4 linked regions of the Rhinolophus ferrumequinum genome follow. The protein of the gene in region 4 interacts with the protein of the main gene of each other region in a pairwise test. Links are inferred from orthologs where the notes say so. Each region holds a gene or a part of one and is shown on either strand. Other genes may lie near its edges. The genes, in order: PSMA3, RBPMS, BAG4 and SNRPB.

What was found.
Region 1: the proteins of SNRPB (region 4) and PSMA3 interact in binary tests that used the Homo sapiens proteins (3 or more experiments, as listed by UniProt). The link is inferred for Rhinolophus ferrumequinum from reciprocal best matches to the Homo sapiens genes SNRPB and PSMA3.
Region 2: the proteins of SNRPB (region 4) and RBPMS interact in binary tests that used the Homo sapiens proteins (3 or more experiments, as listed by UniProt). The link is inferred for Rhinolophus ferrumequinum from reciprocal best matches to the Homo sapiens genes SNRPB and RBPMS.
Region 3: the proteins of SNRPB (region 4) and BAG4 interact in binary tests that used the Homo sapiens proteins (3 or more experiments, as listed by UniProt). The link is inferred for Rhinolophus ferrumequinum from reciprocal best matches to the Homo sapiens genes SNRPB and BAG4.

Annotation. Positions count from the first base shown.
Region 1 is NC_046289.1:35,995,777-36,003,137, forward strand, and holds the start of PSMA3 (proteasome subunit alpha type-3), read right to left. Parts: upstream 3,017-7,361; 5' UTR 2,883-3,016; coding exon 2,862-2,882; intron 30-2,861; coding exon 1-29. UniProt on the Homo sapiens protein: Component of the 20S core proteasome complex involved in the proteolytic degradation of most intracellular proteins. This complex plays numerous essential roles within the cell by associating with different regulatory particles.
Region 2 is NC_046287.1:67,296,115-67,303,314, forward strand, and holds the start of RBPMS (RNA-binding protein with multiple splicing), read right to left. Parts: upstream 3,050-7,200; 5' UTR 2,547-3,049; coding exon 2,481-2,546; intron 1-2,480.
Region 3 is NC_046287.1:61,425,410-61,433,574, forward strand, and holds the start of BAG4 (BAG family molecular chaperone regulator 4), read right to left. Parts: upstream 3,110-8,165; 5' UTR 3,056-3,109; coding exon 2,786-3,055; intron 1-2,785. Other genes in the region: U6 snRNA-associated Sm-like protein LSm1, read left to right, coding at 3,599-3,644, 7,014-7,082. UniProt on the Homo sapiens protein: Inhibits the chaperone activity of HSP70/HSC70 by promoting substrate release. Prevents constitutive TNFRSF1A signaling. Negative regulator of PRKN translocation to damaged mitochondria.
Region 4 is NC_046306.1:24,784,060-24,791,174, forward strand, and holds the start of SNRPB (small nuclear ribonucleoprotein-associated proteins B and B'), read right to left. Parts: upstream 3,008-7,115; 5' UTR 2,872-3,007; coding exon 2,869-2,871; intron 574-2,868; coding exon 422-573; intron 1-421. UniProt on the Homo sapiens protein: Plays a role in pre-mRNA splicing as a core component of the spliceosomal U1, U2, U4 and U5 small nuclear ribonucleoproteins (snRNPs), the building blocks of the spliceosome.

The sequences.
Region 1 (7,361 bases), on a different chromosome or scaffold from region 4:
GGAGAGAATGTAGAGGCTGACAGGTCATACTAAGAGGAAAAAAGCAACAGTAAGCCTATAATGATGTAGCTCTGGCAATAGTAACCTTATATATTTTTTTCCTAAATGGCTTACACATCAGAAATTTGTGTTAAATCTCAACAGAGATTTTGCTTTACCATGTCAGAGCAGCAACATCAGCCAAGGGAAAAGTTAGACATTTTAGATTTCTGCTACTGAAAAGCAATAGATACATGTCCTAGATAAAATCAGAACTTTTTCACACAAAACACAAAGCTCAGTTTTGAAAAAAATTACTGTGGGATAGCAGAAATAGCACTGGAGTCAGAACATTTTAATTCCCGTGTTCCCCCGAAAATAAGACTTAGCCGAACAATCAGCTCTAATGTGTCTTTTGGAGCAAAAATTAATATACGACCCGGTCTTATAAGACCGGGTATAACATAAAATACAACATAGTACAGTATAATATAATATAATACCAGGTCTTTTATTAATTTTTGCTCCAAAAGACGCATTAGAGCTGATTGTGTGGCTAGGTCTTATTTTCGGGGAAACACGGTCATAGCTGTGGCACTAAGAAACTGAAGGGCCTTACTTAGACAAATCAGTTAGCATTCAAACATGTAATAAGCATATATTAGTCACTATTAGGGAATACAAAGAACACTCATTTTTGAAGTCCTTCATTTTCAAATCAGACCAGGCACAAATCTAGGTGCTGGAGATAATAGCAATAAACCAGAATATGGACTATCAAGAAAATAAAACAGGTTGAAGTGATAATGTGAGGGACTACTACAGACTACCTGATCAGGAAAGGCCTTGCTGGGTTAATTATATTTAGTTATTTAGATTGAGTCAGATCTAAATAAGGAGTAACTAGCCATTGAGGATATGAAGGAGCCATCCTCCATATTTGGCATAAAGACCTTAGGTAGAAATAAACCGAGCACAATCGAGGAAAAGAAATAAGGTCACTGTGTCTTGAGCACTGTAGGTGGTAGAGAGAAAACTGTATCAGACACAATGGAAGGGCCAAAGTATGTTGAGTCTTCTAGGCTGGAGTAGGAAGTTTATAATGTATTCTAAATGCAGTAGGAAGTCACTGAAATTTAAACGGGGGTGATATGATCTATTTTTTAAAAACATCATTACTCTGGGAAATGAACTGCAGAAGGAACAAGAGTGGAAGCAGAAATCGGGTATTCCAAAAGTGGTGGCTTAGAGAAAAAGAGACTGAAGGCAGTAACTTTTGAGGCTAGAGGGGGGAAAAAAAACTGCTAATGAATTTGCTGTAGGAGTAAAGTAACAAAGAAATTAAAGGTGAAGGATAGATTTTTTTTTCATTTAACCAACTAGAACTGGACCATTCACTGAGCTGAGGATTGTTAAGAGATACAAGGAGCAAAGTAAAAAAGAAATTAAGGTGAAATCATAGATTTTGTTTTTTTTTTCACTTGAGCAACTAGAGCTGAACCACTGAAGATTGTAGGAGACACAAAATGACAACTGGGAGGAGAAAACCCAGAGCTACTTAGGACATGTAGTTTGAAATCCTATTAAACAACCTGTAGAGAGAAATGTCAAGTAGACAGATCTCCTTATCTGAAGTTCTTGGAAGAAGTGAAGACAGGATAAGCCTTCAACAGTCGTGCTTCCTGCTGAGTCTGTTTCATGATCTGCTAAACCGTGATCCTTAATTCTACCATTGTTATACCAAAATATCTCACATGGTTGTATTATCAAGTATTTTTAAAGGGTTTGTCGAAGGAAACACTATCAATCGAAAGTAATATTAACGAAGGTGCAAAGCCAATTTACTACAACATGCATTATTGAGCAACTACTCCTAAAAAAAGTATAACATAACCTTAGCATCTCATAACTGAATGGATTAAACCATTCCAAACTTAAGATATAATACGCATTATCAAACTCGGAAAACCAATGTATGGGCTTAATGCTGAGGTGAGGATCAAAATCTTGTGAAGTGTAGATAAAGATGAGCTAAGAAACCCATTACTCGATGCCTCTAGTACAAACAACCAATATTTCTAAACGAAACTGTGTTTTCTATATGGAGAAATACATAAAAGGAGTAAACAAGATTGTATATATGCACTACGTTTAACAAAATAAAGTAGTAAGCCGAACAAGTTAACAAGACCAAGTTCAAAATCCTTAAGTCTTGTCTATTAAAAGTCAGAAGCGGTTAGGTCCCTAGCTAATCATTTCAATGTTTATGGTACTGTGCTGTTAAGTAATTGTACAGGAAACGCTGGGACAAAGGAAAAACGTAAAGGATTCTTGAGATTTCGCTTTTCAGACCGTTTTTCTTTTTGAGTTCTGTCCCGATAGGTTTCCAGGGAGTCACACTGAGCAATCACTACACTCGAAGGGAAGATGGAGAAGGTCTCATGAGTCAGCAGCCCCCTAGGAACTGCAAAGGCCCACGGAAAGCTGCGTCTCGGAAGTTGGAATCTCAAGCCGCCTCGCCTCAGTGGTTCTCAAGAAGGGCTAACTGTAGCACAAACCCTTCCCACACTATTTCAGGCCCCACGAGATTCCACTTTCGGTTTCCCGAAGAGGCTAAAGAAAGTGACTCAGCAACTCAAAAGTGGCTCCAGATCTTATTGCTGCGCCGCCAAGCCCGTTACACCTGAGCTTAAAAATTTCAGGACACCGTCACCGCAGGCTGCGGCCTAGAAATTAGCGCAGGAAAGACAGCAGTTCACCAGACAACCGGAAGCGGCCCACCTGGCCGGTGGCAGTCCCAGCGCACCCCAAGTGGTCTGTCCGAGTTCCCTTCAACGCTAATCCTTAGATTAGACTATCATATGCAGAGACAACCAACTCACCCCGGTGCCGATTGAACTCATCCTGCTAAATCCAGGGGAACGCGTAGGGCTTCAAGGCCTAATGCGCCCCTCTATCCTGCAGCACGCAGACGAGTAACAGGCTCTCTCATTGGCTGCTCTTTCGACCAATAGTCTTCTCTTTGGCTCATTCCTCAGTCTTTAGCCCTGGACACAGAGGATTGTGGGAAAAGGAGGGGACGAACATGGCGGGCGACGCGCATATGCAGATTCAAATGAGGTGGGGTTAGGGGAGTATACAGTGTTCTTCCTCTGCATTTCCTTCGAGTGCTGTTGAGCCGTTTTAAGTCTTCAAATTGTTTGAGAAGCTCCTCCATTCCATTTTCTAGGAATTATTTATCATTTATATTATCACTCTGTTTTGCTACCTCATACTTTCTTACAGCAAAGCGGAGAGATGTTCTTACCAAGACTAGAAAAAGCAGTAGGGCATTCTGGTTCTGACCCAGTATTTTGAGGGCATCCCCTTCACCCACCTATCCTCACAAAGAAGAAACTTGCATTCTAAGGGCATCGCCTTTGACCTCAGAAATTTTACAAAAGCATTAGTACCCTTTTTGTGAATATAACTAGTAGAATTAAGGATAAGACTGATTAAATATATTTATTGAGCTCTAATATGTCCCAAGTACTCTGCAAAACACTGGTGATAAAACGATGAAGTAGACTTAACTACATCCCTCATGGAGTTTACATTCAATGAGAGGAAACAGGCAACAAAGAGTGAATAGGCAAAATACTTGGACCTTGTGATAAGAAGATGAAAGAGACGAGAGATTTGAACTTTAGGCCTAGTACTTAGGGAATGAATTTCTGAATGGGTGATATTTAAACTGAAATTTAGGATTATTCTTATAAGAATATAAACTTGGCATGTTATAGGAACTGTCAGGTCCGTGTGGCCCATCATAGTGATTGAGTGCGGAAGAGTGACAGGTGAAATCAGAGAGGTGGATATAGGACCAGATCCAGTAGTAGCTGGGATTTTAATCTGATAAAAAATGGAAGGTCATTAGCATCATTTTTAACTACTAAATACTTAAGTGTGTATTTCCCCCCAAACAACATTATTTTACATAGTCACAGTAAAATTATGAAAATCAGAAAATTAACAATACTATTTTCCATATACCGCGTTTTAGATTTTGGCAATTATCTCAACAATGCCCTTAACTGCAAAAGAAAATCCAAGATCACATATTGCATTCAGTTGTCCTTTAACCTGTCCATATTGCATTCAGCTGTCCTTTAACCTAGGCTCCTTTAACCTGGGAAATAGTTGCTTAACATAAATAGTTGCTTAATATTTCTACAGGAGATTATTCCATTGTCTCAGCTTGTCATAATTTGATCAGAATCAGTTTTTATCCTTTCCTCTTAGAATTAGCATTCTTTACCGTAAGATTCAATGACTATAATCCTTACCACCCAGCTTCTGTCATTTGAGCTGGATAGTAATAACAATCTCTCAAATGTCAAGCAGTTACTGGAAAGTAGCCTTATTTTAATTGAACTAGAATCCCCTTCCTCAGTTTAACTTTCCTTGACTAGATCATATTAAACGAAAATATCTAACCTCCGCTGTTCTTCAGTGCAACACTAACCTCTTAGATGTGGAAATTTGTTTTTTAATGCTCCCGCACAAATTGTAGGAATCCGGTGTGCCATTTGGCAGAAGATGGATGGCCTTCATACGTGTTTTTTTAAAATAACATTTTGGGCAGTGAGTATTTTAAAATACTTAAGAGAAAAAATTCAATGACTATAATGATAAAGATTTGCATAAATTTTCAATGATCGTGGGATACACACGCAATAAAAATTATTAAACTTAAGTATAATTAAATGTTTTAAAGAATTCTTGAAAATAATTCGGAAGTGCATATTTAATAGTACACAATTTACAAAGAAGAGGTAAAAGAACAAACACCTAACGTAGCTGAACAATTATCAAGACATAAAAAAAATCCAGCCAACTTCCGAGCGCCCGGCTAGCTCAGTCGGTAGAGCATGGGACTCTTAATCCCAGGGTCGTGGGTTCGAGCCCCACGTTGGGCGCAAATGACTTTTTTCTCCTACGAAGTTGTATCTTAAGGTTTTCCCAAAGCATTATTACTGAGGAGGGATATTTTAAATCGAATTAATTTGAATAATTTGAATATGAACCAAAACTCTGGGAAAAAAGACTTCATTTTGCAAACGAAACAAGTCTCGAACTACGCTTGCGCACGTGGAAGCACACATTCCTCTTCCTTTCTGCGATCCCTCCCTGACCTCCTCTGTAAAGCAGAGGAAACTGGAAGGCCACTATTTAGTTGAGACTTGTTTTCTGTGTTACTCTGCATACTTACATAGTTGCTGGTAGAAGGCAATTTTTGCTTTTATCGGAAAAAAATATATGAGCCCCGATTTTGGCAGCTTTCCCAAAACTTAAAGAGATCCTATGTAAAAAGCACCTAGGGAGGCTGGAGGACTTTGAAGAAAATGTTTTCCTTTCTTTTACTTTTTCTTACTTTCCTTTTAGGGCCTGTCCTGAAGTAGAGGGAAGATAGGGGGATATCTCCAGAATACACCTGAGAGAAATATTTCTTTCTGTTGTCAGATCTGTACAACCAGTACATACATCAACTTTTCTTCCATTATTCTTGGGACTATATTTGGGATCTATCCAATCGAATGGTGATTAGGAAGTTAATATTCTGGTAAGGGTGAGGCTCTTTGAAACAGAAGTACAAAAAAACTCGGATGTGAAAATTCCGATGGGCTATTAGGTATACCTCTGTGTGTTATCCACGAGCTTTCCTCCTACTAAACCACCAATGTTTCTTATTTGTTTCCTTCAACATACAAACATGCTGTTATTTCTCTATCTTAAAACAAAAACTTTGACCTCGTTTTCCTGCAGGCTACCATTATATTTCTCTCTTTCCCCTTTGGAGCGAGTCACCCCTTCCCAGTCATCTAACTTCACCATTCTCCTCTTCACATTTCTTAACCCTGAAAATGCCCAGACCAAAACATCACCTAAAGTTGAACGAGTTTGATGTATTACTCATTGCAGTGAGGGAGAACTTGGGGTGTTTCAGTAAAAGGGTATTAGAAAGAACCTATTATAAGATTGGACTTTAAGTGGGTAATTTTGAGGGTCCATGGAAGTGCGGATTCCTTCTGGACTGGGTGTTCTTAGAAAGTCAGGGCAATTCTATAACCGTAATAAATCTTATCTCTAGGGAGAGCAGACTAAAGGAGGGATGAAGCTGAAATTAGTAAAGTGTCACTCACTTAACAAGAGAGGATGCTTGGTGTTTTGAGTTGGAGAGTGACCGACTTGCCTAAAGTGGATGTTCTGTGAGAAGCCAATCCCAAGTCCAGGCCTCCCGCCCTTCTACTAACCAACTATAAATCGAAGTTTCCCACAACCCTCTCTTCAGGTTTGGTAATTACCTAGAACGGCTCCAGAACTTAGGAAAAGTTTACTTATTTCTAGTTTATTATAAAGGATACAGCTCAGGAATAGCCAAATGGAAGAGATGCATAAGGCAAGGTTTGGGGAAGCTTCATGGAGCTTCCATGCCCTCCTGGAACGCAACCCTCCTAGCACCTGGATGTGTTCACCATCCTGAAAGCTTTCTGAACCCTGTAGTTCAGGGATTTTTGTGGAGGTTTAATAACTCAATCTCCAGCCTCTCTCCTCTCCCTGGAGGATGTGGGTTGGGGCAGAAAGTTCCAAGCTTGTAATCAGGGCTTGGTCTTTCTGGTGACCAGCCCTTATCCTGAAGCTACCCAAGAGCCCACCAAAAGTTGCCTCATTAGAACAAAACACACTCCAGAAAATTCCAAGGGATTTAGGAACTCTGGGTAAGATGCTCCTAACACCCCCATCCCTCAGGAAATTGTAAGGGTTTTAGGAGCTATGTCAGGAACGGGTTACAGAGACCAAGTATTATTTTTTATTACCCACACTTGCGCAATATGTCTTGTTTCAAATCACTAAGAAGTGTACCCAACCCTAATTATCCTATTCTAATTGGCAATTACCCACTACCCACTTCATCCTATTTTTCCCATAGAAGGTATCATATTCATAGGTTTTTATCTGTCTCTTCACTCTCTCCTACCCTGTTGCAATGTAGTGTAGGTCCAAAGGGCAGAATTTTTGTCGTTGCTCACTTATGATCTTAAGCACCTAATAAGTTAATATCTGATAGATATTCAATAAATGTGTTGAATTAAGGGTCTGTTAGTTTCCTAGGGCTGTCATAACAAAGCACCACAAACTGGGTGGCTTAAAACTGAAATTTGTCTCAGTTCTGGATGCTAGAAGCTTGAAAGCAAGGTGTAGGCAGAGTCACATGCTCAAAGGCTCTCTGGAAGCTGTTCTACAGTTCTCTTAGATTTTTGGTGTCACCAGCAATCCTTAGTGTTTCTTGGCTTGCAGCTCCGTAACTCCAATCTCTCCCTCAGTTGTTATATGCTTTCTTG
Region 2 (7,200 bases), on a different chromosome or scaffold from region 4:
TACAACAAAACACATTTTTCCTCTCTTGTCATTATGTGTGTATATATTTTATATGTCTGTGTGCTGTTTACTGGAGTCCTCAGCCAAGACTTTTAGATGTGTTTGAGGACAAATTGCCGATCGTTGGGTGGGCAGGAAAAGGGTCCAGTGTGGTGGTTTTGTATAATGCTGAGCACATTAATGAGACTCACTAAAAACCATATTTATTTTACCTGTGGCTTCCAGAGTTAGACAAAAGAGGTTCGGAGTTTTCCAAAACCAAAACATAAATCCAAAACAGGGAACTTGTGCAAAATTACCTGGATTATTCAGGCCAACTGACTTTCTTTTCCTGAATTTTTAACATTACAAACCCTCTGTCTTTATAGTGTATCTGTTTTACGCACTCCACCTTTTGTACAACTTAGGTTCTGAAATCTTCCTAACCTGTTTTTAAAATAGCAAGTGTCTTGCTAAAGCTACTGACACTTCCTAGAGCCACAAGCCGTTCCCACCTAAAAAGGAACACTGTAATGACAACAGGACAGGTAAGAGGGAGTGACTATACTGAGGTCACCTGTGATTCTACTTGGACACAACCTCACACATTAAGATGACCAGAAACAGGGCAAACAACACCTCAGTACTGGCAGTAGTTAGGCTGAGAAAGGTTAAGCAGAAAAATGTGACTTTATTTAATTTTATCAAGTTAAGTAGGTTATGGTTTGGGGACACTCAAACCTCTTTTGCTACCTACCAAAAGAAAAAAAAAAGAAAGAAACCTTTACTTTGCCTGATTAATGTTTTACATTTACAAGTTTTCTTAATTGGGTGAAGAGAAAAAGCTGATTTCATACAATATGTTCTTACCCTTTGAAGTACACAGATTGCCAACCTACCTTAAATAGAAAAGCTTCTGAAGCAATTATTACCTTGGTGTGTTCTGTGAATTTGTTAAATATAGCGATTCACAAAAAAAGGCAAACTTGTCATCATTTTTTAAATTTTATTTTAGTGGCAGGAAAAATAAATAGCAAAGAAGCCAGCGAGGTTCAAGAAAAAAGTAGAACTTGCAATTCAAGTCCCCTCTTTGAAAAAGAAGGAAATGTCAACAGTATTCCTTCACTTGTAGTTCAACACAACAAGCATGTAAGCAACGCTTTTCAAAATAATAGTTTATAATAAAATAGGCAGTTTCCTCATGTGAGAAGGCAATTTTTGGCTTACTGCAATTCACCTAGGTTGCACTACCCTACATCCATGTTAAGAGTAAAATTTTGTGTTAATTTTGCGTGGTTTTAGTTCTCTCCTTTACTTCCCCAGTTACAAGTGGACAATGGGCTAAGGGCTTATATGTACTAATCAAATCCTCCACAAAATTTGGTTTCACTATCAGAATTTCAGTTTGCACATAACATTATCTCAATAATAATCTCAATATCCTAACCACTTTAGAATCCGTTTACCATTCTGTTAGCCTTATATATAGGATGATATACCTGTAAGAATGCTTTATAGGTCATACCTAGATGCATACTTTCTGCATTTACACACATTCTAAAGTTCTTTTTAGCATGTTTAAGAACTCCACTAGGTCGGATCTAAAAAAAGTAGGCGAAAAACATTGTTTCTTGGACTCCAGATCATGTACCTGTAGGAAAAGAGCCCTTTTATAGGATACGATAAATATCCTAACTACAGATTCTGAAACATGTGTTCAGGACTTCCCTCCTACACTGACTGAATTCTGTTTACACCAAAGGAAAGCTCGGCAGCCCCAACATTTTTATCGTTATTAGGGACCCACCACATAAAATTTACGCTCGGAAGTCAAAGTCCTATTAAAATTGCCTCGAGGATAATTTGGTTAATTGTAAAGTTTTAAACTCTGCTCCCCACAACCGCATCGCCCCCACATTTACAAAACCTAATCACCCAGGTTCGGGGTCTTTGACTCATCAGAGAAGAATGCGGCTGAGCAGTTATCTATTAATCCAAAATGCCTCAGCTGGAAAGATATTTCACCAAGAACTTTCAACGCTGAAAGGGAGGGGGCAGGGAATAGAAGGTATCTTTTAAGACGAACTTTCCCCGACTTCTTCCTTAAACCACACACACAAACACACCCCACAACTTCCAGGGCCGGACGCAGAACTAAGTCCTGATACTCCGGGTCCCAATAATCTGAGGTCACCCAGGAGTCAGTCTCGATTCCGCTTTTAAAATCTCGGGCAAACAAAGCTGAGCATTATACTTACAAAAGTTTCCGAAAAGTCCTCAAAGTTACGCAATGTTAGGCACGCACCCACAAAAACACACTCTTCGAAGATACACTCTCCCGGGACCACAGTCTGCGGCAATTCCCACCCCCTGGACTGTGGTGCCCCGGGACCAGTGCCCGCATCCCGCCAGCCTCTCCCCGCCCGCCGCCCGCACTTCGGAGAAAGCCGGCGCGGTTAGCGTCCCAGGTCGTACCCGCCACCGCACCGAGCCATCAGTACCTCTTCCTCCTGAAGGTTGGCCTCGTTCGGGGTGTTCTCCTTCTCGGCTTTGACGCCGTTGTTCATCTTCCCGGTCCTCCCTCGCCGGGCAGGGCTGGGGCGCGGGGCTGGGCGAGGGCGCGCTCGCCCACTTTTCCCTTCCCCGGGCGCGGCGGGTTGGAGCCTGGGCAGCGGCGTCTCGAGTTCGGGCTCCCGGGCGCGGCGCGACTGCGGCGGCGGGCGACTCAGGAAGTGCAAGAAAGAGACCCGGCAGGGCGAGGCGCGGGCTGAGTAGGGGCCGGAGACAATCGGGACCCGGGCCGGAGACCTGGAGAGCGAGGGCGGGCGCAAGGGGAAGGAAGGAAGGAAGAAAGGATGGGGCGAGGACGCGCGTCCCAGGAGTGACCCCAGAGAGTTGGGGATGTGGCCGACTAGGGGTTGGGGGCGACCGCAGCCCAAGCCTAGCCGCTGCTGAAGGGAGGGGGCGAGAGGCGCCCAGAAAGGCGGCGGCGGCGGAGGAGGAGGAGGAGTGGGACAGAGGGGCGCGGGCCGCGGCTGGGACGCTGGGACGCGGAGAGCGGCTGAGTGCGCGCTCCTGGTTCACTCTGGGAAGTCCAGCAACCAAGCTGCGCCCTTTCTTTCGCCTTCCTCCCTCCCCTCTTCCCTCCCCCTCCTCCCTCCGCCCTCCCTGGACGTGGGCTGCAGGCTGTCGCCGAGAGGGACAAGACGCGAACCGCGAAGCCCCCGCGGGAGGAGGGGCTGTGCCGGGGGCAGCTGCCCCGCGGCCCAAAGGCGTGCGCCCCGGGGCGGGGGGGGGGGGAGCACGGGCGGAAGCGGCAGACCCCAGCCTCCGGCTCCGCTGTAGGTCCGAGGGAGAGGGCCGCGCGGAAGGAGGGAAGGTCAGGTCTTCCGAGTTACCCTGGTGGCAGTGTGGGGACGGAGTTGGCGAACTGGCGTGGCGGTGCTCGCGAACTTGGAGCGGGGCTTCGAGGAGACAGGCCCTCTGCCAGTGTGACCACCGCTAGGTGTGATGTGCTACTTTTGTTTGTGGGATTCTCACGAGGGATTTGCACCCCTACACCGGTTTACACCTATTTCTTCCCTTCCTAGTCCGCAGCTGGAAATGACAGGATGCGAGAACTGGAGTGACATCCGGGGGCAGCCTGAGCCGGGCCGCCGTTTTCAGGGCACAACTTCAAGCCCACTTCACACGCGGGGTCCTCCAAAACCTTTCCCACCGCGATCCCCACCCCCGATCCCCCGAACCGGCCGCCGCCGTTACTCTCCGCGAGGCTCCCCCGGGCCCCTGTTCAGTTCAGACTCTTGTCACAGCCCTTATCAGACTGTTCTGGAATTAATGTTTACCTGGCTGCCTTTCTGACTCTTTTGAGAGCTCCTCCCTGGAAGACAAGACCGTGCCCTGTTTATCTTTTTAATCCCACAGCTTTATAAATACGCCACCTGGTATATAGTAGACACTCGATAAATATTTGTTGGCTAAGGGAATGTTCCCCCTCACTGCAAGCCGAACCGGGGGCCAACAGAGCTGATCTGTAGAGTGTCAAAGCTGCTGCTTAAAAGAGACTCAGCATTCCGGGAGGTCAGCGCACGAAGCTTGTTCAGGCACCAACCTCGGACGGACCATGTGGCATCCTTTCCTCGAACCTGTGAAAAGGGAGTAGTTATATTTATCTCCCAGGAGTTTGCCATTAGAGCAGATTATAGTTTGATAGAGCGATAGCACCTAGCACCCATTCTTACCCACTTTAAGTGTGTGACACATGGAAGCTAACATTCTTATTAAGGACATTTCCATTTTTCTTGCGCCATAGAGAGCTTTTCCAATACTGTATCATTTAAGCTTTCAAACTTGACTACTACAAACACCTACGTTTAAAACTCCATACATCAGTAGATTCTCCCTCACTTCCTACCTCCAGGAATTTTCTTTCCCAGCATGCTGTTCCTTTCCAGCACAGCACCAAACACAATTTCTAATTATTTGCTTGCTCCACTGGTCATCTCTCCCCCCTCCCCACCCCTACTAGACATTCTTTACCCTTATACCGTTTTAAGTGCTGCTGGCTATGGGGTGAGGGTGGTGGTGGGAATTGAAGATAAGGCTCCCGCTGTCAGGGAGTGTAAAGTGGTGTTGTGGCGACAGGATATCCAAAACAACTCCACTGGCAACATAATCACAGATCCCGGTTCAAATTGCGGAAAGCAAAGCAAATACCGCTTTAAGAGCATTCGGAAGAGAAAAACAGCAGTGATACTTGGATTTACATAGCGGATTTTTCCTGGTGATGAGGGGAGTCTGAAGATTTTGATAAAGAGATTTAATTGCTGTCGTGATGTCATTTCCTTCTATAGGGGAGACAGTGTGTATCCTGGGTGAAAATGAACCCAGAGTCTATTGAAATTGAAATTGAAGTTACCTGGACAACTGTTTCCACCTCCAGTTCCTCACTGGGTTGTGTGAGGAACCACGAGGGGGCAATGTCTTCCCGAGCATTGGCGAGGGGTGGTCTTGGGCCCCTGTGCTGACCTCTAATGCTAGCTCTACTCTCCTTGGCCTTTCTTGCCTGTTAACTGAATACACTGCACAAAAAGGTATTGTCTTGCTGGAGCCTGGCAAGGGCCCAAGAAAAAGGACAGTTGATCTAGTCCTTGATGATTCCAGTCCGACTTCTCTTATAAGTCAGTGGAAGAAGTATGATTCCAGGATGCTGGGCGAACCTTCCCTACCCCCACCCAGGGAAATGTGGCTTAATTCCAAATGTAGAACCTGTTTCCTTTGTCTTTAAGCCAAGCTGGCATTTTGTCCATTGTTAAAAGTCAAACACCTCTGAGATTAAAAAAAAAAAAAACAAAAAAAAAAAAACAAGAATAAGTTCCATGAGAGGATCCTTGTCTAACTTGTTCATTGTTGTGATCCCAACATCTAGATACTGCCTAATGCATAGTAGGCACTCAACAATGATTTGTGAATGAATGAAGACATTGTTTTATCAGTTTTGATTCTGAGGCTTAAATGACATTATCAGATCCTTCCAAGACCTGGCAGGAGGGACTGAATTAGTGGAGGCATGGAGAGCCATCACATGGGGCATGAGGCAGATTCATGGAGTGGTCATTAGTCATTATTTTGCAGAGAGGAGACCCTAGATAGACGACAGCCTGTGCAGAAAAGGACAATCGATGAGATTTCAAGAAATAAAAAATAAAATCACACGACTCAGCACGAGGGCCCCAAACCACAACTGAGCCAGTCAACTGACACATGCAGTTGACAACAAAGCAGGGAGACCTAAACTATATAGTCAATGGTGAATGAAATTCAAGGTGTCTTCAGAAAAGTGTGTAGGGATGGGGTAACATGCCAGTAAAAGGGGTACTCCTATTTTGCCCTTTTCTTTAGAAATGGTTTAGACTTATATGGAAGAACAATAGAGTCATGTTGCCAACAAAACTCAATGAAAATCTGTGTATTTGGCTATTTATAAAATCTTGTGAGTATGGGGAAAGTTTGAGTGTGGGGGGGGAGAGGGCCATGTACATTCATTTCGGATATAAATGATCTTTATGACCTGTTTACTACTTCAAAGAAAGAAAGTTTCAAAAGTGAGATCTCAGTAGCAATAGTTTCCAGACGCACTAAGACTTGTAAGACAACAAAGGGATTTTATATCCTAGAAAAATAGGGCTAATGACCAAGAAACATCTGCTTTCTTTCCTGCCCACCACCCTACAACGCTGCTTCTGGCCTACCAGGTTACATGCTATATTGCTAGGGAAATATTGTATGCACCTATAGTTTTTATTACTCATCTCTATTTCTCTGGCTATGTTCATTTTGAGGTGTGCTTTAAGAAATTCGAACCTAGAATTATGTCTTAAATGACAGGTCATTACAGATATTAAAGGCCTATTTTGGGCATGGTCTTTGTACCTATGTTAGCACTGCAGCAGAAAGCTGCAGTGTCTACCACATGTGTTGTGACTGTTATCTGTTCTGCATCCTCTGCTGGACCAAACAAGTTTTTCAGGCCAGAGACTGTGTTTTATTGGTTTTTGTCATCCATAACATTTCTTTCTCTTTCACCCACCCCCACCCACCTCCAGGCCATCACCATCATCCCCTGAGTTTATTTATTATTTTTCAATTGTGGCTAAAAACACACACAACATAGTATTGACCACCTGAACCATTTTTGAGTATACAGTCAGTAGCTTACAGTATATTCACATTGTTGTACATTTAAGACATAATTTAAGACCAGTCATTTAAGACATAATTTAAGACAGTCTTCTGATCTTTACCTCCTAAATAGTTCTGAGATTCAATCACTTCCCTCCAAGTACTCATGGAAGCCTACGCAGCCACATGGACAGGCTCACAGGGAAGAGGATTATAGCCCCAGCTGAGCTCTTAGTGGACAGCCGGTACCAATTGCCAGCCTTGTGAGTGAGTTATCTTGGAAGTGGATAATCGCTTAGCCCCAGCTGACGCCACATGAAAGCAAGATGAGCTGTCTTCACTGACTCCTGCCCAAATTGCAAAATTGTTAGCAAAAAAAGTGAATGCTGTTGTTTTGAAACACTAAGTTCTAGGTTGGTTTGTTATACAGCAATAGATAACTGAAACATAATTATGTACCTAGAGGTAAGGTCCTGCTGTCACAGTGTGGGGACAGAGTCCCAGAGAGCAGTTTCCAGGCTCTCAGCCTCACGGGAAAGG
Region 3 (8,165 bases), on a different chromosome or scaffold from region 4:
GATCTCTCTCTCGCTCTCTCTCTCTCCTCTCTCATTCTGGGAGAACATGAAAATCATCTACAGATCTTGGTGAAATGCACATTCTGATTCGGTAAGTCTGGGGCAGGGCCTGAGATACAGCATTTCCAACAAGCTCCTAAGTAATGCAGATGCTGCTAGTTCAGGGATCAAACTACAATGCTGCCAAGTACAGCTAACCAAGTAAGAAAAGAAAGAAAACAGGGAAAGGTAGATTTCTGGGTTTTTTCTCCTGCCATATTTAAATGTAGAGAGTCAAGTTTTTGTAGTGGTTCACTGCAACATTATCTCAATATATCCAATTCTATAGAGCTGTGCTTCTCAAATGTGAACATGCATACAAATCACCTGGGGCTTTTATTAAAATGCAGCAGCAAGTCTGGAGCAGGAAAGTCTGCATTTCTAACAACCTCCAAGCAACACTGAAGCTTCTGGTCAAAGGACCACACTTTTTGAGTAGTACGGTTTTAAAAGGCTCCTATACCTTTTGTTTGTTTGACATATTTGATTATGTAAAAAATGTAAAACTTATATATCACAACCACAATAAAGTTAAAAAACAAACAAATTTGGAAAAAAAAACATTTGCAACATGCAAATCTTTTGTATTAATTTTCTATTGCTGCATAGATTATAATCCTATACTTTTCAAGTTTCAGAAACATCAATCTGAAGATAAACTCTTGAAATGGTTTATGAACGTCCAGTACACATCCCAGCTTTATCTCCAACTACTGCAGCACCATCACCCAGCCTATGTACACGCTATGCTCCATCCATACCTTACATCTACACAATACTAACATCTTAACTTCTCTAACCTCACCCCTAAAACACACTTTTGTTTTGATAATACTGCAAGCCCAAGTAGAAGTCATCAGTGGTCCTCTCCTCTCCCTTGGTCTTTGGTCTAATTTGCCTACTTATAGACCAAACAGTTCATCACTCTACTCTACCAAGGGATTCAAGTCCCACAGGCTAATTATTCTAGATTTAGACAGAAAATATGGAACTCTCTTCATAATTAACCTCTCACTACTACATGCTTTTTTCTCATACAACTTTTTAAAGATGCAACTAACATACCATAAAACCTACCCTTTTAAGTGTACAAGTCAATGGTTTTTAGCATCTTCAAAGTTGTATAATCATCGTCACTATCTAATTTCAGAATATTTTCATCATCCCAAAAAGAAACCCCTTACTTTTTATCTATCACTCCCAATGTCCCCAGTCCCCAAAACCCTGGCAAGCACTAATGTTTGACTCTACAGATTTGCTTATTCTGGACATTTTATATAAATGAAATCATACAATATGTGGTCTATCTGACTGGCTTTGTTCACGTAGTATGATGTTTTCTAGGTTCGTCCATGTTGTAGAATGTATGTACAGTACTTCACTCCTTTCTATGGCTACATAATTTCATTGTACGAACATTCCATATTTTACCTATTCATCAGTTGATGGACATTTGGGTTATTTCCACTTTTTGGCCATTATGAATAACATTGCTGTGAAAATGCATATACAAGTTTTTAATACACATATGTTTCCAATTCTCTTGCATATACAGAGCGTGCCAAAAAAATGTATACACATTTTAAAAGGGAAAAACTGTATTAATTGTAATACTCAACATATACGGATAACAAAAGATGAAACAAGTCACGTTTGACTTCTGCAATTACAAGAGGTGTTCAAAATGGTTACCATCAGCGTCCAGACACTTCTGATTACCACGAACTACTGCTTGAGCACAGATAACATATCCTAAAATGTGTATAAATCTTTTTTGGGCACCCCCCCCCAGGTATATCCATGAGCAGACTTGCTGAGTAATATGCTAACTCTGTGCTTAATATTTTGAGGAACTGCCAAACTACTTTACAAAGCACTGAACCATGTTACATTCCCACCAGCAATGTATGGGAATTTCACTACTACATTTTCAAACAATGAGGGTGTTATAATTTCTGAAAGAGAGATGTGACCCCCCCACACACATTGTGTAATAATTCTCTACGAAAAATACTGCATTAACAAAACAGAAGTACTGTACGTTTCTGGCAAGAATATAAGAAATGTTATAGGTCCGACTATATTGAGCAGGTTGAGTTAACCTCTCAGAGCCAACAGTTCTTTAATAGGGTCACTATTAGGATCAACATAAATGACATTTATGTTGCAGTCGCCGTGAAGATTAAATAAAACAATCCACGTAAAAATACTTCCCAACGCTGATTATTCGTTGAGTCAATCCCAGGCAAAGCATTAGGGACAAAGGGCTAAATAAATGCCCACATTCCCCCCACCTCCTTCCTAAATTCCTTCCCCGCGGAAGAGGTTGCTGAATGACGGCGGGGGCTGCAGCCACCTCCCTTCTCGGGGGGAGAGCAGGCCTGACGAGCCACGCAGGATAAATTGCTAGAGCTCAAAAAGCAGAGCCGGGTCACTTCAGCCCAACATCGTTCCCAGGCGACATTCCGCATCCTCTACCTAGCTTAGCAAGTCAGCGCAGGATCTTTTTTCCTTTTTTAATGGTAATAGACATTTATTATGGTCGAAGCAGAAAAGGAGGGGCAAACAGAACACAAGCATATCTCCCCACCCACGAGCCCAGTCTTATTTCTACAAACCCCCCAATAAGGAAAACAAATATGAAACCCGATCCGATACGAACTCAGGGGGTATACTAATCCCAATGGACCTCACTCCCAAAGAACCCCCTCCCAGAACCTCCTAGGACAGATGGCGCAAAGCTTACCTGGTGGTTTCCTCCAGCTCGACCCGGCTCCGTCCAGGGACCTCCAGAGGGATAGTAGCCATCGCCTCCTCCGCCTTCTCCTGGCCAAGAGGTCTCAGCAGGGCCGCCCCCGCGCACCCGCCAGGAAATGGGAGGCTGAGGAGGTTCAGAGCGAGGAGGATATAAGGGTGGAGGTGGATGCACCGGCATATCTCCACCCCCAGGCCCATAGTAGCGGCCATAAGACGGACCGTCACTGGGGCCGTAGCCCGAGCGCCTTAAGGCCGACATGGGCACCGCTGCCCCGAAGCGCTTCCCGCCCCCCACGGCCGGCTCATTGCGCAGGCCCCTGCCAGCGACAGGGAATGGACAACAATGAAGGGGGTCGGCCGACAACAGCCAATCCCAGGCCTGGTACCGCCCCTTCAGCGGCGGACGCCTGGGAGTTGATGGACGAAGGTCCGTGACTCTGGGGGTCTGGGAAGCAGGAAAACGAGGGGCTGCACCGTGTTCCTTGAAAGGGAGACTACGTTTTCCCATCACCTATGCCATGTAGATTCCTCTTTCCCTCTCCTCAGATGGGGAAAGTGTGTCCCCGGACCGCACGACGGTCCCGCCTCTTCCAGACGATGGGCACGTGGTACCGGAAGTAGGTAGGGATATTATGGAGGAGTTTCCGGCAGGCCCCTGCGGCTGAAAGCCGGGGCGGACGCGCTGGTCCCGGTCCGGGTTACTGTCCCGGTTCCGACGAGGCGGCGACTCCGGTAGGAGGAGGGAGGTGTTGCACACGCTGGCCCACCGCAGCTATACACTGCAGTCTTATCTCAGTTCAAAATGAACTATATGCCAGGCACCGCCAGCCTCATCGAGGACATCGACAGTGAGTTAAATCAGTTTGGGGTGAGACCCTTCCTCCCCGAAGGGTGCCTCTTTCGAGGAAGCTCGTAGAACGAGTCTGGGGCGGGGGGCGGTGTGATTTGAGCACAGTTCTGGGTGTTTGGTGTTGACATGCTCCACGGGATGGAGGAGCCACGGGACACACCCTTTGCCTACCTCCTAGCCTACGACCTCTATTACCTCCGTCCTGCCCCACGCAGCCTGCACCGGCTGGTCAACCACAAGCTGTACCATTCAGTCCTGCTTCCCAGGGACGCTGCTGAAGTACCAGGTTGTTACTGGTGGATGAATGAGAATGCTTAAAGCATTCATCAAGAAATGAGAATATTAATAGCATTTGGACTTATTGGCAGTAAACATAGGCTTTATGCTGTGTAGTCATTTGCAATATTCTTTTACCGTAAGGGTCTTTAGTACTTTCAAATTATGGTAGCAGAGACCACTGCCAGACAAGGTATTGACTTTTCTGGAAAGGCAGAGTTGATTCACTTCTTTTTTTTCTGTTCAACAATTTTCTTTTGCTTTTACTTAAGAAGACCTCCCTTATTCTTAATCATTATCCTGAAGAGGAATTCAGTCCTGTATGAAAGAGGATATATATATATATATATATACATATACATATATATATAGTCTGTCCTTTTGCTAAACTGTCATCTGTGAATTATTCCTCAAGCAACATTTTTGTAAATGTTTTGTGTGATCCTGTCTCATTAACTTGTAATTGCTGCAAAATGGTTTACACACAGTTCCAAACAAGTTACAACAATCTCTACAGTTACTATATATACAGATTAGAGTGAGTGTGTAATTAAACTTTTTATTGTCTGAGATCATTTTTTAAATCCAAATTAGTGATTTTGCTATTGAAGGGAAATACAGTGTAAATTGGACCAAATTCGTACATGTAACTAACCACTGTACAAGCCTATCTCTAATGTGTGATGAAATCTTAAGTTGTCTGAGGATGCCATTTTGCCCTCACCTCTCTTTTTATGTATCTGAATTATTTGAGGCCCTAACACATCCTGTCGTTCTATTAAAAATAAGTTTTGTTCTTAAGCCTTCTAACCTCTTGTTTGTAGATTCCAGGCCCCCTCCTTTACTGAAATGTTCGAAACCATTTCATATGTACTCTTCACTGCACCTCCCACACACTTGCCTCCTCTCTCCTTAGTCTTTCTGTATTTTCACCCGTCCTCTCATTGAGTAGGAAGTATTCCTTCCTTTCAGTTTGTCTTTTATTACTCTTTCCTCTCACTGTTTCTGGAACCTTCTGCCATTAATATCCTTTTTCTCTCACACCTTGTATCTTTCTCTCTCCTCCTGGATCCTTCCTTTCACATGTTTTTGTCCATCTCAATTTTTTTTTTCAGTTGTGTCTCCTCAAACTCCCATCCCTTTTTTCATATCTTTACCCCCAAACCTTTTGAGTCATCTCCATTTTGACTCGTCCTGACCACCTGCAATTTGATTTTTGTTGTCCACACACTAGTGAAGCTGCATTCTTAAAAGGCATCAGTCTAGGGCACTTTTCTGAGTCTTCCCCTCCCCTCTGCAGCACTGCAACTATTACCACTGGATTCTTAATTCTGTACTCTGGATTTCTTCAATACTAGTAGTTGTTGATTTTCTTACCTCTCTACCTCTTACTGTTCCCTAAAATAGATGGTCTCTTAGGTTCCATGTTTGACCTGCTTCTTTCTTTAAATCTCTAGGAGATCTCCTGGACTTTAATAATTATATCACCTCTTTGTGGATTAGAGCAATCCGAAATTGCTCTAATTCAGACCTCTTTGGCAGTCTTACATTTCCAATTATCTGTTGACATTTCTACCTAAGTGTCCTGATAGCACTTCAGAATTACAAACAGCTAATAATCTTCCACCCTGAGCTTGCTTTGTTTACTCCAGACTTTTGGTAAGTGGTCCTCCCTGATGATGACGCAAAATGCCTACCGCTGCTTAACTTATTTCTTTAGCACCACACTCTCTCACACCTACCCGCATATACAAACTCAATTAGTTGACAAATCCCATTACTTTAAACTGCACAGTTTTAGTACTTCCATCCTTGCCCTTCTCATCCCTACCTTGGTTCAGGTCTCTTCATGTTCCAGACACTGGAAATAGCCTCAGCTGCTCTCCCTTTTCTGCCAGTTCAGTCTTCAATGTGTTTTCTTGTTCCCTATAAAATCAAACCCAGACTCAACCTGCTCCCAGTTCTTTTTTCTGACTTCGTTCCTGTTATTTCTCTCCATGCCGTCAACTCTTCTCCAAACATATGGATACATAGCCCTTTTTTTCCTCCTATCTAAATTACAGATTTCCCAAACCATCCCCTTCGCTGTCACTCTTCCCATGAACAAAAATTATCTAACTTTCAAGAACCAACTCAGATACAGCCTCCAGCTCGAATTTCTCTCAGTCTCATATAATTAAGATGTGCTCTCTTATGGTACTTAATTATAGCCCAAGGAAAATTATAAATTCCTTCCGGGAAGAAGCACCCTGTTCCTCTGTTCTACATCTATGAAGTACTTTATGTGTGGTCTTAAAGAAACAAATGAATGATCTTTGCTAGTTATTCTAGTGACTGGCTTATTGTCATTTTTCAGAGTCAGCTCCAAGTCACCTCTTCAGAGAGGTTTTCCCTAGCCACCCTCTCTTCTGTAGCTACTTTCTTTTCATCCTACTATCCTGCTATCTTACTTATTATTCCATAGTAGTGATCACCATAGGTCATTTTTTTATTTGTTTGCCTTCCTCCACCAGGAATATAAGTTCATAAGGTTGGTGAATCTCTGAGTTTTATTCAGTACTGTATATAGAGGCTCCAGAACAGCACGTAGCTTTCAATAAATATTATTGAATTTTTGCTCTAGCTTATTATCAGCATCCTCATTTTACATGTCTGAGGTATTGTTTTTAATTTAAAATCTTCCCTGACTCCAAAGTGTGAAATAGAAGCTCTTCTAAGTTGAAGGGAAACAATTCTAGAATTAAGATCATAAAGATCATCCAGACTAAATTTCTCAATTTGCAGATACAGAAACTTGACATGACACTGAGGAGGTGTAACTGTCAAACATCAACGTCTAGAGCCAGTCAGGCTTCCTGACTACTCAGCCAGTCCTTTTTCTACTTTGCCACACTATGATTTTTTTCACCACTAATCTTGTAACCTAGGCTGCCTTGGTCCTCCCTCTAATTTCCCAATAAACTCCACCTTAAATACATGGGAAGAGGAAGTGGTAGAAGTAAACTGCTGTTAACTTTATTTTTGTTGTTACCCTGTAAACTCACTGATGCTAACAGTTTTCATTTTTAAAGATCTTTTTTCCTTTTCCCAGAAAAGCACTTGGTCCTTCTTCGAGATGGAAGGACGCTTATAGGCTTTTTGAGAAGCATTGATCAGTTTGGTATGTATTAGTTGTGGACTTCTCCTATACTCTAGATAATACGAGTTGCCCATTGTATTTTTTGTGTTATTTCATATTGAAATTTATTTATCGCCAACTTTTTCACGTGTCTGGCATAATGGAATACTGTTTTGAGTCATTACATCATTGTTTCCTAAATTATGATTAGATTGTTTAAAAGCTTGCACTTACAAGTTTGTAATTCTAAAACTGGTTCTCATGAAAACATACAATGTTTTGGACTATTTTTTTAATTTCCCAATGAGAGGGACCAAATGATAGAAATAAACTCAGTCCAATGAAAAAGCTGCTCATTTGTACGTTGGCTCAGGTGCAACTACTCTGCAGAGCAGTTCCTGCACTGAATGTAACCCCACCCCGTCCAAAGAAAATTGGATAGAAGGCATTTCCCGAAGCTTTTTAGGGACTCCAACATTAAGCTCAAGATTTTACACTTAGGAATACGTCAGACTCAAGAGTCTTGGTCTTTTGTTTTGCTCCTGCATTTTTCTGAAGACATCTATAGTTGCTTCTGTTTCAAGAAACTTCTAGTTCATCTCACCATGTGGTAAACATCTGTTAGGTCAGTGGATTTAGGCAGGAGGAAAAACAACAATTGAAACACCTGTAAGAGTTATAGAAGATAAGCGCATAGATAATCTGCTTTTTTTCAAGTAAGACAAATGGTACCAATTGAAAGAAGAAAAATAATTATTCTTAACAGATTGGATTTGTAAATCTTAACAAATTCATCAAACTACTTTGAGGTAAAAGTAAATACTGGCTTTACTCTCATTAGCAGGTATGCTTATCTGACAAAGTGAAAAAATAGGTTTTTGCAGCAGCATAATTTGTGGACATCTGTATGATATTAAATGAATCCTAAGTACTGAAACAAAGTTAAATCTTCAGTCAATAATCAGATATACATACCCACACAGCATAGAAAAACTGTTTCCGTCTTTTAAAAAAAAACCCAAAAAAAAAACAGTTTTAATCTCTGCAGTTGTTTGGTCTTCCAAGTACCCTACTCATTTATATATTTTCTTATACTCATGTTGATATTAGTAATTAATGATAAAT
Region 4 (7,115 bases):
TACCCTGAAGAGGGTCAGAGGCTTCTTAAAGCAGTTTCAGACCAGGCTGCATTGGGAAAGCCCTTTAGGCTACAGCTTTACAAATAGGCACTGAGGCCAGAAAATCAAGCTCTCCCCCCTCACACACCTGTGGGGAGAACATGAGAGCCCTTTACCCCAGTACCCAGGGGCACAAGAAAGTCAGAGAAACAAAAAGCCTAGCAGCTCTCCTTACAACTTGTACTCTGCTACAACTACAGAACAGGCTTGCTGGGCTAAGGAAGGCGATTTCTTAGTGACCAATGTCCCCATTTAAATCTGCCCTCTCAACCAGGAGAGCAAACAAACTGACAGAAACCAGCTAACTACATGACCTGTCACTTGGCCCACCCACCCAATCTACCCCCCTCCCCCAAATCCCTCCCCACAGCCCACTCCTCACTTGATCTTCCTGAATTCATCGCAGTCACATAGGATCAAATTCATGTGCTTGTCAAAAGCCTTGAAGGTGCCAATGAAGATACGACCGTCTTGCAGGATGCACCTCATCCTGTAGTCGATGTGCTGCAGCATCTTGCTGCTCTTGCCCACGGTCTGCAAGGAGAGATCAGTGGGGATGACACTCGGCTCCTTGGGACCCACATATCCCTAGCCCTTCCTCAAAAGTCTGCTGTGGCCTTCTTTGCCATGTGTCTGTCTTTCTCAGTAGATTCTCAGTTCTGTCTTCCAGCCACAGCCCTTTGCCAGGAATCCTCCCGTGTCACCCCGTGTTCAGCCCTGACCTCTACCCACTACTATTATTCTCCTCCCCTTCAAATCATTTCGTATTACAACTGCCTTTGTTTAGGCTGTGTTTCAGGGGTGAGTGCAGGATGTCTCCAAACTAATCCAATCCACCCATACGAGATTAGTCATCTGCCACTGTGGATTCTAGGTGTGTGACTCCAGTGCTGTCACCCACATCCCATTAAAAAGACTGAGGAAAGAGCTGGAATGGGACTGGCACTAAAAATCCAATCAACCAGAAGCTTATCAGAAAGGAGCTGGTCAGCGTGGAGGTGAGAATGCAATCCCCAAATAAGTGTGCCTCCAAGACTACCTTTGGGAGGAAAGCTTTCTGGTGACCAGTGTGCTAATCAGTTTGAACACACATGGTCTTTAAGAATATGTAACTCGCTACACGTCTTAATTAACCCAATAATCTATTCTGCTTTATTACTTGGATTCCAGTATAGCTTTGTTAAAATAGACTATATACACATCACAATGCAAATTGTCAGGTGCCCCTGGCAGTTATAGTTCTCTCTAGAAATAAATGCCCTGGCATTTGATCCGGGTATCATCAGCCTCCCATCAGTGAATGGTGTGGGCCAGTCCTAACTCATCCAAGTGCCTTCAAATGCCAGGCCTGGGTATGCTGTTCACTTCTGTGAGCTTGGACAAGAACGGGTTTCTGAACCCACAAATGTGTGGATCAGAATCTTGACATTCACCCTGGAGACCCAGGTTATATGGTTCAGTCTCTCTTAGATGACTCTTATTTTTAACTGGCAGGTAATCACACAGCTTCTGGCCACAAAGATCTGAACCTTTATGGCAACATTTTTTGGTCCACCCAGCAACAACCAACTCTTACTGGGTGCTCACTGTATACCAAGAACTGTGATAAGCACTATGTATCTCATTTAAATCTCAAAATCAGTCCCATTGTTCCTAGTTTACAGATGAAGCCACTGAAGCTGGGAGACAAAATTCCCCCAAACAGTATCCTGCCAGGTTTCCCTGCTTTCACTTCACCCTACACAGAACAGCTACAGAACAAAGTAATCTTTCTAAACACAACTTAAATTCATGTCATTTTGCTCCTTACAAGCCTTCAACGACACGCCTCATCACCAGCAGGATTAAGCAGAATGTAAGCCTTTTAGTAACCATCCTCCTGCCAATTCCTCCCAGCCCCACTTCCAGCTCTTCCTTTCCCCCTCCAGCAACTTTCAATAGTGCTACCTTTCATGCTTTGCTCTCGCATCCTTTCTTATCTATAATGTCCCCTCTCATTTTCGCTGGGAAAACACCTAACAACCTTGTACAATTCTGCTCAGGAATCCTCTACTCCCTACAGCATTCTTACCCTGCTCGCCTCCCGCCATTACTTTCACTCAATGCTTTATTACCACTCTGAATTCTATTAGGTTGGTGCAAAAGTAATTGCGGTTTAAAAGGTTAAGTTGCAGAAACCGCAATTACTTTTGCACCAACCTAATATTACCGGTGTCTCCAACTACAAAGTCAACTCGGTGTAGGAAACATTTCATTGTGTAGCCCCAGCGCCTGAAAAGTCCGACGTACTCATACATACATGCTGAAAAAATGAGTTCAACTCTTCCTCCAAACATTCTCAGTCACCCTACCGTTCCCGCCACCGACTAGATCCAAGAACACTCCAGTTTCGGCCGCAAGCCCTTGCACTTTTTCCGTAACTGCTCAGACCCTCACTCCCTTCACAAGTCTGAGCCTCTTAGTAGGTCTTCCTTAGTCCTCCTGCGGCTCTAGTGCCTGCTCCGAAAACCCCGGAACACATTTCTTCTACAAAAGTTTACTTAGTTCCTACAGGATCCCAAGTACTGTGGCTACAGCGGCGTGGAGAGCCGCAGTTCCATCCTCGCCCCCACCGAGCGACCCCGGCCTTCCCCCTCAGTGCCAGCCTTCCCCTCCCCCAACCCGCCGAACGACCAAGGTCTCGGGTCTTTAGTGCCCTGACCGAGCGGCCGCGGCCCGGGCCTTCATCGCCATGAGCGGCCAAGCACGGCCTTCCCCGCCAATCAGTCCCGGTCCCCGCCTGAACAACAGACTCGGAAGCTCCCGCGCCTCCAGCCTGCGCCTCCTCACCATGGTGGCGGTTCTGATGGCTTGGATTCCCGCCGGATTCGCCTGTGGGGAGGCCTAGAGGGCCTCCAGTCGCCAGCTTCCCGCCGCCGCTACCGGAAATACGTCCGGGAGCAAAATGGGTTCGGGTAGAAAACTACTTCCGGTCCCAGAGCCCTGCCCTCGCGTTCCGCCCACCGTGCGGAAAAGGAATCTTAGAGCGGGGCGGGAGGTTGGGCTGGGCTTGGGCAGCGCTAACCAAACTGAACTCGGTTAGTTTAGGATTCTCCTTGGACCCCTTCGTGCAGGAGCTGCTCCTGCACACTGTCATCCCCCGGCCCGGTCCGTTAACTCTCGGTCCTCATCTCCCACTACTCTACCCCTGCTCTCTGCTCTATAGCCACTGTCCCGACTTTTCCGTGAACTTGCTGGACGTGCTCCTGCCTCAGCACCTTTGCATTTGCTGTTGCCTGTCTGGAATGCTAGTGGTCCAGGTACATTCATAGCTCATGCCCTCAACTTCAAGACTTAAGTTCAAATAACATTTTCCCACTGAGGACTTCCCTGGCCATTCTGTTTAAAATTGCAACCTTCCCACCCATCCCAGTTTTATTTTTCTCTTTAACACTGATCGCTAACATACTATTTTTTTTTGTTAGTTATTTTGCTGTCCCTCCCTATTAGAATGTAAGTTCCAACGTATGATTTTTTGTGTGTATTGTTCATTGCTGCAGTGCCTAGAACACTGCTTGGCACAAAATAAAGGCTTAATAATTATTTGACTCAATCAATCAATCCCATCCAGTCCCATGTCTTTTGAATGCTACCTATAGGTTCAGGCTTTTTTCAAATCTATTCTTCTAACCCTGGTTTCTTCATTTAACGCCTGGTCTTTTATATCCAGCCACCTGCTTCACATGGATGTCTAATAGCCATACTAAATTTAACGTTGAAAACTGAATTCTTGATTCTATTTTCTTCCCAATACCACTTTCTACCAGTGTTTCCCATCTCAGAAGTTTCTTGGGTTAGAAAACAAAATGACAAATTTGGTAGCATCCTTGATTCCTATTTCTCTCCCTTCTCATAAACAGCAAATCCTATGTGCCTCACCTTCAAAATGTCTTGAATCTGACTGTTGAAACGAGTTCCACTGCTACCACGCCAGTCCTAGCCACCATTATCTCTGACTTGGATCACTGAATGAGCCCCTAACTGTTCTTTGCTTCCTCTCTTGCTCTCACAGCAGCCAGAGGGATTCTTCTCTAATGTACTGGGATTTTATCAAATGATGTCATTGCCCTGCTCTCCACCTCCCAATAACTTCCCAGCACACGTGGAATAAAATCAGCCCTGCATCCCTCTCCAACCTCATCTCCTTCAACGTTCCCCTCATTCATCACAGCCACACCAGTCTCTTTGCTGTTCCTCAAAGCCAGCAAGGAAAGCCTCCACCTCAGGACCTTGTCATCCTCACACCATCCTAAGATGTATATTCTGTTGTCCTGTTTCTGTCAACCTGTAGAGGAAGAGAATGGAGGCTCAGAGAGATGAATTATCTTGCCCAAGGTGGCAGCATCAGAACAGACATATGGTACCGTCTGGCTCCTCAGCTGCTCCCAAATTACCCTGCCTCTTAACATATCACTGATGCATGCATTTTAAAAAATATTTATTTAGCACCTACTAAGGCCACGCACTATTACTGAGATACAATGTCCCTTCCCTGAAGGAGTTCATGTTTTAGTGAGAAAGGCAGACAATAAACCAAATGAATACATTCTAGAAAGTAACATTAGAGTGATATGAGAAAAATAAAGTGGGGAAGGGGGACTGAGAGTGATGAGTTGTAATGTTGGCTACATGGTCAGAGGAAGCTTCTCTGAGGATTGGCACAGGAGCAGAGACCTGAATAAAGTGAAGGACATTCCAGACATTTTTTATCAAGGGGATCATATAATATCTGCGGTCTTTGGTAACTGCTTTTTTTCACTTAGCATATTTTTAAGGTTCATCCATGTTGTGCCACATATCAGTACTTCATTTCTTTTATGGCTGAATAGTATTTCTTTGTAGGGATATGCCACTTTTGTTTATTCTGTCATCAGTTGATGGACATTTGAGTTGTTTACACCTTTTAGCGATTATGAATAATGCTGTTTTAAACACGTGTGCAAGTTTTCATGTAGACATATGCTTTCATTTCCCTTTCATGTATACTTAGGAGTGGAATTACTGGTAACTCTGTTTAACTGAGGAACTGCCAGACTGCTTTCCAAAGTGGCTGCATTATTTTACATTCCCACAAGCAGTGTATGAGGGTTCTGATTTCTCCACATCTTCACCAACGCTTATTATTGACTTTTGGATTCAACCATCCTAGGCGTGTGAAGTGGTATCTATCCAACTGTGGTTTTGATTTCATGTCCCTGGTGACTAATGATGTTGAGCATCTTTTCATGTACTTATTGGCCTTTTGTATATCATTCTTGGGTTATGTATCTTTTCTGATTGAGTTTTATGAGTTCTTTATGTATTCTAGATACAAGTCCCATATCTCATATCAGATATGATTAATAAACATTTTCTCTCATTCTGTGGGTTGTCTTTTCACTTTCTCAATAGTGTCCTGCACAAGTTTTTAATTCCGTGGAGTCTAATTTACCTTTTCTCCTTTTGTTGCTCATGCTTTTGGTAGTATTATCTAAGAATCCTTTGCCAAATCCAAGATCATGAAGATTTAGCCATGTTTCCTTCTCATAGTTTTAGTTTTTGTTCTTACATTTAGATCTTTGATACATTTTTAGTAATATTTATATACAGTATAAGGTAAGGTTCAAACTTTACTCTTTTGCAGGGAGCTATCCAGTGTCACAGCACCACTTATTGAAAAGACTATTTCTTCCCCCATTGAATAGTCTGGGCACCTTGTGGAAAATCAGTTAACTGTAGACACGTGGATTTATTTCTGACTTTTCGATTCTATTCCATTGATCTATATGTCTATTCTTATGTTAGTATCATTGCTTTGTAGTAAGTTTTGAAATCAGAAAATGTGAGTCCTCCTAATTTTTCTTTTGCCAAATTATTTTGGCATTCTGGATCCCTTGAAATTCCATGCAAACTTTAGAATCAGCTTGTCAGTTTCTACATATAAGAAAAAAGGAGTCATGGATTCGAGAGCATGAAGTTAAATAGATTATTCATTTGGCTTTTGGTAAAGTGCTCCCAAGGTTCAGTCTAGATCAGGGATCAGCAAACTTTTTCTGTTAAGGATCAGATAGTATTTTAGGATTTGTGGGCCATATGGTCTCTGATGCAATTACTCAACTCAACCATTGTAGCATGAAAGCAGCTATAGATAATACATGAATGTGTGCCTGTGTTACAATAAAACATTATTTATGGACACAAACATGTGTCACAAAATATTATTATTATTTTGATTATTTTCAACCCTTTAAAATGTAAAAGCCATTCTTAGTTCACAGGCTTTACAAAAATAGGTGGCAGTCCAGATTCAGCCTTCAGGCTGTAGTTTGCCATTCCCTGGCCTAGCGCATTAGATTTCTGTGTCTGGATTCAGGGCCGTAGCCTCACTTTCTATTAATAATAACTTTGACTTGAGTCATTTCTTTGGCTTATGGGTTCATTGAATAAATGCCATCAAAAGTTCATGTCTTTGCCCTCATATAAAAACTACACACACACATTCACATCTGTATCAATCTAGGTCCAATAAGGAGACAAAAACCACACAGTAAAAATTTAAATGGGAAATTTAACATAAAGAATTATTATGCAATGATAGGAGAGGAACTGTACCTATTGAAAGAAAACCTTTAGCTGAGGGAAAGTACTAAGGAAGGATAAACCTGAAAGGAAGTTTCCCTCCCCAAGGCTGGGGTTCAGCCCTCTTGGAGGTGTAGTCACAACCCACTGGGTGATGGAAAAGTTGGGTTAGTGGGTGCTTTGCACAGGCCAGAGCTGGTCTACAGTCAACCGACAAGCAGGAATAACCTTCTGGAATACAGGCAAGCCAAAGCTGGTAGGCAGAAGGACAAATCGAGTTGAGTATGCAGAGAGTAGGGAGTTAATGTTGACACAAAGCCTGGATCACACAGTGTCTGTGTCTGAAGGGCCTCGGGCTGATGGGCACTGCTGGAAATGGAGGCTGAAAAGCTGTAAGAACCTAATGTACTTCTGTGCACGGCTTAGGCTGGGGCAGCTATGGGTAGCTGTTGGGACCCTGGTGCACATGCACATGGAGT